Linked DNA regions of Coturnix japonica. The protein of the gene in region 2 purifies or fractionates together with the protein of the main gene of each other region. This does not show direct contact. Links are inferred from orthologs where the notes say so. Each region holds a gene or a part of one and is shown on either strand. Other genes may lie near its edges. The genes, in order: KPNA3 and nuclear cap-binding protein subunit 2.

What was found.
Region 1: the proteins of nuclear cap-binding protein subunit 2 (region 2) and KPNA3 purify together in Homo sapiens (co-immunoprecipitation; 3 studies listed by BioGRID and IntAct, with this or other methods). This does not show direct contact. The link is inferred for Coturnix japonica from reciprocal best matches to the Homo sapiens genes NCBP2 and KPNA3.

The regions. Positions count from the first base shown.
Region 1 is NC_029516.1:151,498,214-151,502,118, forward strand, and holds the start of KPNA3 (importin subunit alpha-4), read right to left. Parts: upstream 2,598-3,905; 5' UTR 2,501-2,597; coding exon 2,420-2,500; intron 1-2,419. UniProt on the Homo sapiens protein: Functions in nuclear protein import as an adapter protein for nuclear receptor KPNB1. Binds specifically and directly to substrates containing either a simple or bipartite NLS motif.
Region 2 is NC_029519.1:2,393,534-2,397,438, forward strand, and holds the start of nuclear cap-binding protein subunit 2, read right to left. Parts: upstream 2,597-3,905; 5' UTR 2,469-2,596; coding exon 2,382-2,468; intron 2,132-2,381; coding exon 1,950-2,131; intron 1,263-1,949; coding exon 1,124-1,262; intron 480-1,123; coding exon 381-479; 3' UTR 1-380. Other genes in the region: TEX11 (testis-expressed protein 11), read left to right, coding at 2,700-2,730, 2,841-2,953. UniProt on the Homo sapiens protein: Component of the cap-binding complex (CBC), which binds co-transcriptionally to the 5' cap of pre-mRNAs and is involved in various processes such as pre-mRNA splicing, translation regulation, nonsense-mediated mRNA decay, RNA-mediated gene silencing (RNAi) by microRNAs (miRNAs) and mRNA export.

The DNA.
Region 1 (3,905 bases), on a different chromosome or scaffold from region 2:
TGGGCCACAGAAATGATCAGGGGGCTGGAGCACCTCCCCTATGAGGACAGGCTGAGGGAGTTGGGTTTGTTCAGCCTGGAGAGGAGAAGTTTGCGGGGTGACCTCATTGCAGCCTTTCAATACATGAAGGGAACCTGCACCCAGGAGGGGAGTAAACTCTTCAAAAGGGCTGACAATAGCAGGACATGGGGAAATGGAACCAAGTTGAAAGAGGGAAGATTTAGGTTGGATGTTAGGGGGACGTTCTTCACTAGGAGAGTGGTTAGGCCCTGGAACAGGCTGCCCAGGGAGGTTGTGGATGCCCCGTCCTTGGAGGTGTTCAAGGCCAGGTTGGACGGGGCCCTGGGCAACCTGATCTAGTAAATGTGTATGTTTGGTGGCCCTGCCAGGCAGGGGGGTTGGAACTACATGATCCTTGAGGTCCCTTCCAACCCGGGTCATTGTGTGATTCTGTGAGAACTGATCATCTCAATGAATACAGACGGACACACCATCAGGACATACAGTGGTATCTGAGGATAAGTACAGTAAGTGATAGCAATTATACAGCACCGCTGCGCTTCTTTCTTTCTCTGCTATAAATTTAGCTTAAATTCTAGACACCCGAGTTACATAAAATTTACTCATAGAAGCACTTTGAACTCGAGCTTTCAAATAAGGATCATGATCAAGAAAACAAAAATCAAGTCAAAAAGGACGTACAGTAGAAAATTTCAGATATGTGATAGGAATTAAGTTGTCCTTAAGACATGACAGACACTGACATCTCTAATTCTTTTAAATGAATCTAAATTTCACTCTAGTGAGTATCCATTCTACTGTTACTTATTCCTGTGTTTAATCTGCTTGGCGCCCACAAAAGACTCATCTCAGCTCCTGACCTGTCCCAAAAGCAGGGATGCCAGCTTCAGCTCCAGCAGAGTTAACGTGGTTATCCGGCACAGTCTTGAGCTCAGCCACAAAAGGATCCAGTCAGCAGACTGGGAGATAACCCTGGAGGATCCGCTTCTCCAGAACTGCAAATACCCTATTCCAAAATAATTACTCCGCTTCAGGAGCAAACATTCTCCTGAGAGCGGGGGGACCTCAGCAGGGCTGCTCTAACTAATCCCAGTGAAGCTCAGGCTGTCAATTCTCCTCTCCCCCCCACACACAGAGGGAGATATTTAATTCCCCCTCCCCCCCCCCCCATCTTGGGCACGCTATAACATAAGGAAGGATGGATGACGGCTCAGTTTGCACCGGGCATCGACATACCTAACCTTTCCCTGTTTGGAGCTCCGATGGATTCAGGCCAGGGGCTGAGGAAGCAGCAACAAAGCCAGCGAGCAGCACGGGCAGCTGAGGCATGGGTTTAAATGAATGAGGAGCCACAGGAAGAGCCTCGGTGGAGGAGAAGGGAAGGAGGAACCCACCACGCCTCCTCCTGCCCTGAGAAGCAACTGCTTCAAGAAAAGATGGGAATTTTTAGCTACTTCCTAACGTTTCCCAGCGTTACCCAGAAGCGTTGAAGTTAAAGAGCTCCTCACACGCGATATTACTGCGAGGAAGCTCTACCATCGTAAGTTCAGCAAAAAATTAAAGGAAAGATTAGTTCGCATCGGGGGAATGTCTGCTTCAAGGCACCGCCGCCGCTGAGCCCGACCCGCAGCCAGCCGTCCCCACCCAGACAATAGCAGAGGTGGGGATCCTGCACAGACACCACACGCGATCCTAAGGGCCGATCGCAGAAGTCCATCTCGGTGATAGCACTGGAGGTGAGGAGCACCCTTAGGAGAAGTCAGCGCACACTGACACGGCCTGAGCCTTTCATTCCTGTGAACCCTCATCTGATTCGAGCCCCGCTGAGGTTCCAGCACGGCTCCCACCCCTTTCTCTTCCCGTTACAGAACCTCAAACACAACAGGGGTGGGATGAGCTCCCAGCCCAGCCCCGTTGCGGAGCGATCCCTGCCGGGGGGCAGACGGGCCTTCAGCCCCACATCGCCCCGGTGGTGCCTCCGACTGAGCCAGCCGCCAATTCGGCGCCTACCGACACTTAGACACAGCACGGCAGGCTGACTGCGGGCGGAGCGGGCCGGGAAGCCCCACAGGAGGCGAGGAGCGGCCCCGGGATGGGCGCACGGCTCCGGCCCGGCCACAAAAGGCGGCGGCACCATTGTCCGCTCCGTGGCCCCGGGGGCGGCAGTGCCGGGGGCCGCCCCCCTCCCCGTCCCACCCCCCGCTCCCGTCGGCCGCGCCCGAGTGACGGAGGCTCCGCGGCGCTTCCCCCCCCTCCGGCCGCCTCTTCCCGCCGGCAGCGCCGCGAGCGCGGCCCGGCCCCGGCCCCGGCCCCGGCCCCGGCCCCTCCTCTCGCCGCCCGCCCGCTGCCGGAGGAGGAGGAGGAGGCGGAGGCCAGGCCCCGCCGGCCCGTCGCCTACCTCCACGTCGCGGCCCTTGTTCTTGAAGCTCTTGATGCGGTGGTTCTCCAGGCCGGCGGAGGCGGCGGCGTTCTCGGCCATGGCGGCGGCTGCTCCCGGCGGCTGAGGCGGCTCCGGCAGCGGCTGGAGCGAGGGGCGGGGGGGAGCAGAGCGGGGCGGGGGACGCGCCGTGACGAGCGCGCGCCGCGGGGGGCGGGAGGAGAATGGCGGGAGGGGGAGGGGAGGGGGGGAGGGGGCGCGCCGCCGTTGCCCAGTGACTGCCAGAGCGGCGGGCGGCACGCAGCCAATCACAGCGCGGATCCGGCCGCTAAGCCCCGCCCCCTGCCCGCCGCGCTTGCGCCTTTGGGGCTGAAGGACGGAGCGCGCTTCCCGGTGTGCACCGCGTTGGCGCGGGGCGTGCTGGGAGGTGTAGTCCGCAGCGGGCGGCGGCCTCGCACGTGGAGCGGGAGGAGCCGGCAGCGCCGCGCCAAGGCCTGAGGACACGGGGAGCGACACGAGTGTGGGAGCACAGTGCGGACAGACGGAGCTACAGCTAATGAGGGAACACGGCCATGTGCGAACTGCGGTGTGAGGGACTGAGGGTGCGCTGAGCGCCGCTGTGTGAGAGCGCTGAGGTGAGGATGGGGCGGACAGTGAGAGGGTGATGTGGGGAATCGGCGTCACCAGGGTTGGAAAGGACCGACATCATCAAACAGTCCAACAGCTCTGTTACCAACCGCTCTGTTACCAACAGCTCTGTTACCAACAGCTCCCACTGAGCCACGGCCCTCAGCACCACATCCAATGTTCATTGAGCACCACCATGGTCGGTGACTCCACCACCTCCCTGGGCAGTGCATTCCAATGCCTGACTACCCTTTCCGAGAAGTAATACTTCCTAATGTCCAGCCTGAATCTCCCCTGGCGCAGCTTAAAACCATTCCCTCTAGTTCTATCACTAACAACACAAGAGAAGAGGCCAACCCCCAGCTCACTACAACCTCCCTTCAGGAAGTTATAGAGAGCTGTAAGGTCTCCCCTGAGCCTCCTCCAGGCTGGACATTCCCAGCTCCTTCAGCTTCTCCTCAAGAAGAGCATGTTTCTTGGAAATAGCACCCAGTTCCCTCAGAAACCTCAAGCCATGTCACATTCACACCCAGCCACGTCAAGGTGGCTTCTAGGCCTGACACTCGCTGCTGTGAAGGAGAATGGGATCCAGCTGCCCAGCTGTCTTCAGGAGAGCTGCCGAAGCAGATTCAGTAGCTGAGAACTTCTCTTTGCCCGCCAAGGAAGGTGGTGCGGCCGCCAGCTGCGGTTGCTCAGAGCCGCTTGGACATCAGAGCAGTGCCGGCGCAGCCACTGCCAGACAGGGGTGTTGCGTTTATCCTCTGGAGGAGCTGCTAGCCATTGCCACGAACAAAGGGACTTTGTTCAGATCCATTCAACATAACCTATGAGGTAAAGTGGAAAACTTGTGAATAAAAAATGGGAAGTGTACTGAGGCTGA
Region 2 (3,905 bases):
CCTACAGGGCTCCAACAGTGGCACGGTTCACAGAGTTCTATCTGAGAGCAACCACAGCTGCAATCATGGCTTGGAAGAAGCCAACCGCCTAGCTGTAATGCAAAGAGTACATCCTAACATGAGGTGCGTGTGACATGCTGCATTTCTTCTTACCAGAATCCTGCAGAGTTGTCCACTTGTTTCCCTTGTTGCCCTGTATCAGCACAGAACATCCTCTCTAATCCAGAAGAAAGGGGGAATGAACACATGTATATCCACAGTCTAAGGAGGGTCACCTTTTGCTGGAACTTGGATCTCACTCCCTACCCCAATCCAAAACGCAAGAACACGGCTAGCTCAAGAAGAACAGAGCCCTCTACGAGCTAGAACCCATGAGGCAATTAGTAGACTGCAGGCTGTTGATTTGCCTTCTGCATCTGTATAATCTTGCCAAAACCTCCTCTTCCCACATCGTAGTCTGTCCGGTATTCATCTCGCACCTGGAGCAAGGCAGTAACACAAGTATTAGCATCATGTTAGGCTTCAGAATCATCACCACTTCCTTGCTCCGTAGTCTGAGAAATGAAGTTCAGGTGAGAATTACTTTGACTCAGTTTGAAATCTCTTCAAACAATCCACCAAACAGATGGTGCAAGTGACAAATGAGGATACATCTGCTGTCAGATCATTTTAGAGGGGAAGCAAAGATCCCAAAATATTTTGATTCAGCTTTGTCATCCAGCTTCCAACTCTCTGAACTGCTAAGCTTGGCCTCCAGAGCGTTTCTCCCTTCCCCAACCCTCCAGAAATCTGTAAGGGAAATTTAGCTTCTCACAGGGCAAACTGATGGATCATGAATCCATCATGGATCTAGAAATTGTGCTCCCTCCCCATTCAAATTCTGCATCATTTAAAAACTGCTAGCCTGGAACAGGGAAAATTTCGCTTGTACTGTGAGGAGTCATGGAGTCCTGTCCAGCTGTAGCCATAGTTATGCTTCCAGCTCTTTATACCAAGGTAGCACTAGTTACCAATATCACCTAAAATTCATTGCTGGGTCTGCACTTCTGAATGAGACAAAACAAACAAAACAGCACTGCCCTAGGGGGACTGTATTCAAGGCCTGAGCTGGTATTGCCTTTACCTGTCCACCAGTCTTTCCTCTTCCATACTGCCGTCCCTCCTTGAATCCTGCATCCCAGTCTGTTCGAACAATGCGGTCATCGAGCCGTGTGCCGTTGATGAATCGCATTGCGTGCTCAGCATCTGCTCTTGTGTAATATCTAAACCATACCATAAGGAAAACTAAACATGCCACTTTGCTGCCTGTAGGGTAAAAAAAACACCAATATCAAGCCATTGTATTTAAGAAGCAGAAGAACCTTTCCTGTCTTCCAGCCTTTTCTACTTTTCCCGCTCTTTTCTATGGGATCAAAAAGCTGTACTCTATAAATCCAAGCTGAAAATAGCTCCCACTCCTTCCTCAGGTTCTGGCTGCAATGTTAGTACCTGTACAGACAAGAAACAGCTTTGGATCACTTATTTCACAAGTAGATAAAGCAAACCGTTAAAGCCTTGCTAAGGGCAAGAAATCTGATGCTTTTTTTTTTTAATACCACATTAAACTCAACTGAATTTGAACAGGAGGCACCGGCCTCACAGGAGAGCTCTGCAAACAGCTCGCAGCACAACGTGTACGAGCACATGCCTTGTGCTTGGGAACAGCACCACGGATCTCCCTGCTGGTTCTGCAGGTGTGAAGCCAAGGTGAGAACGTGAACACGTGCCCATAGCTTGGGCCGTACAAGGGCTCAGCATCCACACACGACTTTCACCTATGGCAATGCGGGTGGTTTGGGTGGTGTTGGGAATGCAGGCAGCAGTATGCCTGGAAGGGAGCCCCGTGAGTTTCACTCCTTTCAGGGTTTTTGACAGCTGATCTTACTGCAAATAGGGCCCAGAAAGGATACTCCACGAAGCAGAAGCCGCAGGCTGTTTTCTTCACCTTGTCCAGCCCCATGATGATCTTCTTGACATCGCCACACTTGGAGAACAGCTCCTGGATCTGCTCCTCGGTGGTGTAGAAGGACAGGTTGCCCACGTACAGCGTGGAGGAGATCTTCAGGAACTTCTCCTGAAGCTTTTTGCTCCCCTGAGGGCAAAGCGGAGCACAGCACGGGCTCACACCGTGACGGGGCCACACCGAGACGGGCTCACACCGTGACGGGCTCACACCGTGACGGGCTCACACCGTGACGGGGCCACACCGTGACGGGGCCACACCGTGACGGGGCCACACTATGGCACATCACATCCTGGCAGCCCGGCCCCGCCCCGCCCGCAGCCCCCTCCCCAGACAGGCCCCTCGGCCTCAGGCCCCGCTGCCCCCGCCCCGCGCGCACCCGGAAGTGCTGGTCCCGGTATCGGCTGATCTCGCAGTACGAGTCGCTGTTGAGCCCGCTGAGCGTGGTGTGCAGCAGCCCCGACATCTCTCTGTCTCGCCGGCTCCCGGCAGGTCCCTGATCCCGGGATCCTTCCACAACCGCCGCGACTCCCGCAGGACAGCGGCCTAGCGGGCAGGCCAACCGCCGCGCAGCCTGATTGGCTACACGGGGCGGAAAGGCGGGGCGATCGTGCCGAGCAGCCAATCACCGCGCGCCGCTTCGCTCCCTGCATGCAGCGCGGGGTGGCCCGGCGCTCTCCTCAGGGCGGTGTCGGCCATGGTGGGCGGGCGGATGGCGGCGGCGGGAGGTACCGGCCGCTCAATATCGCCGCCCGGGGGCTGCGGTTGCGGCTGCGGCTGCGGCTGCGTAGCCGCTCCGACGCTCAGCCTGACGTTTCCCTCCCGGCTTGTCTTGCAGAGCTGCTCCGTGAGCTGCTGAGGGAGGAGGCCCCGCCCCGCATCGCGGCCCTCACCGAGGAGCTGTTCCAGGCGGCGGGGGCCCTCAGTGAGGCGGACGGCAGCGCGGCGGAGGTAGCAGGCCGCGCACCGCCTGTCCTTCCCCGTGCATGGGGCGCTCAGCACTGCCGGCTTGTCCGCAACGTTGGGTTATCAGGGTTTATTACCTTTGTGCAAAGCTGCATCAGCTTTTAACGAGAGTTTCCAGTCCATAGCTTTTGTTGTTTATCTGATAACATCAGAAGTTTCTGGGTTGCTACTGAGGACGATTAAACCACTTAATCTTGTTGGAGTGTGTCCAGAGGAGAGCCACAAAAATGACCATGGGCTTGGAACACCTTCCTGTGAGGACCGGCTGAGAGCTGGGGCTGTGCAGCTTGGAGAAGGGAAGGCTCAAGAGGGCTGAGAGCAGCCTGTAGATAGAGGCTGTAAGAAGGAAGGGGACAGACTCTGTAGCAGGGTCTGTTGTGACAGGACTAGGGGAAATGGTTTCAAACTAGAAGAAGGGAGATTTATATTGGATATAGGGGAGATGTTTCTTACTGTAGGAGTGGTGAGGCACTGGCACAGGTTGCCCGGAGATCAGTTGGGTGCCCCATCCCTGCAGACACCCAGGGTCGGGCTGGGTGGGCTCTGAGCATTGACAGAGCTGTGGGTGTCCCTGCTCAGTGCAGGGAGCTGAATCAAATGGCCCCAAAGGGTCCTTTCCACCACTTACAATTCAATACAGGCCAAAGAGTTAAAGTCACACTATAGATGTGTTTTCAAATCTGATACACTTCTCTTTTCCAGCCCTTTCTAATTTCACAACATCTGCTTACAATGTACATAATGTGTTCTGAAAGCTGCCGGGGATTCAGTTGTGTTTTGGATGTGGCGATGTGCTGTTGCACAAATTTTGTATGTATGAATGCATGTGAGAAAACTTCATCCCAGATGGATGGGGTAAATCAGGTCATGTTTTGCTAGGCCTGGAAAAGGACTTGACAGAAACATATGTCAGGCTGTTTCAGCAATACAGCAGATT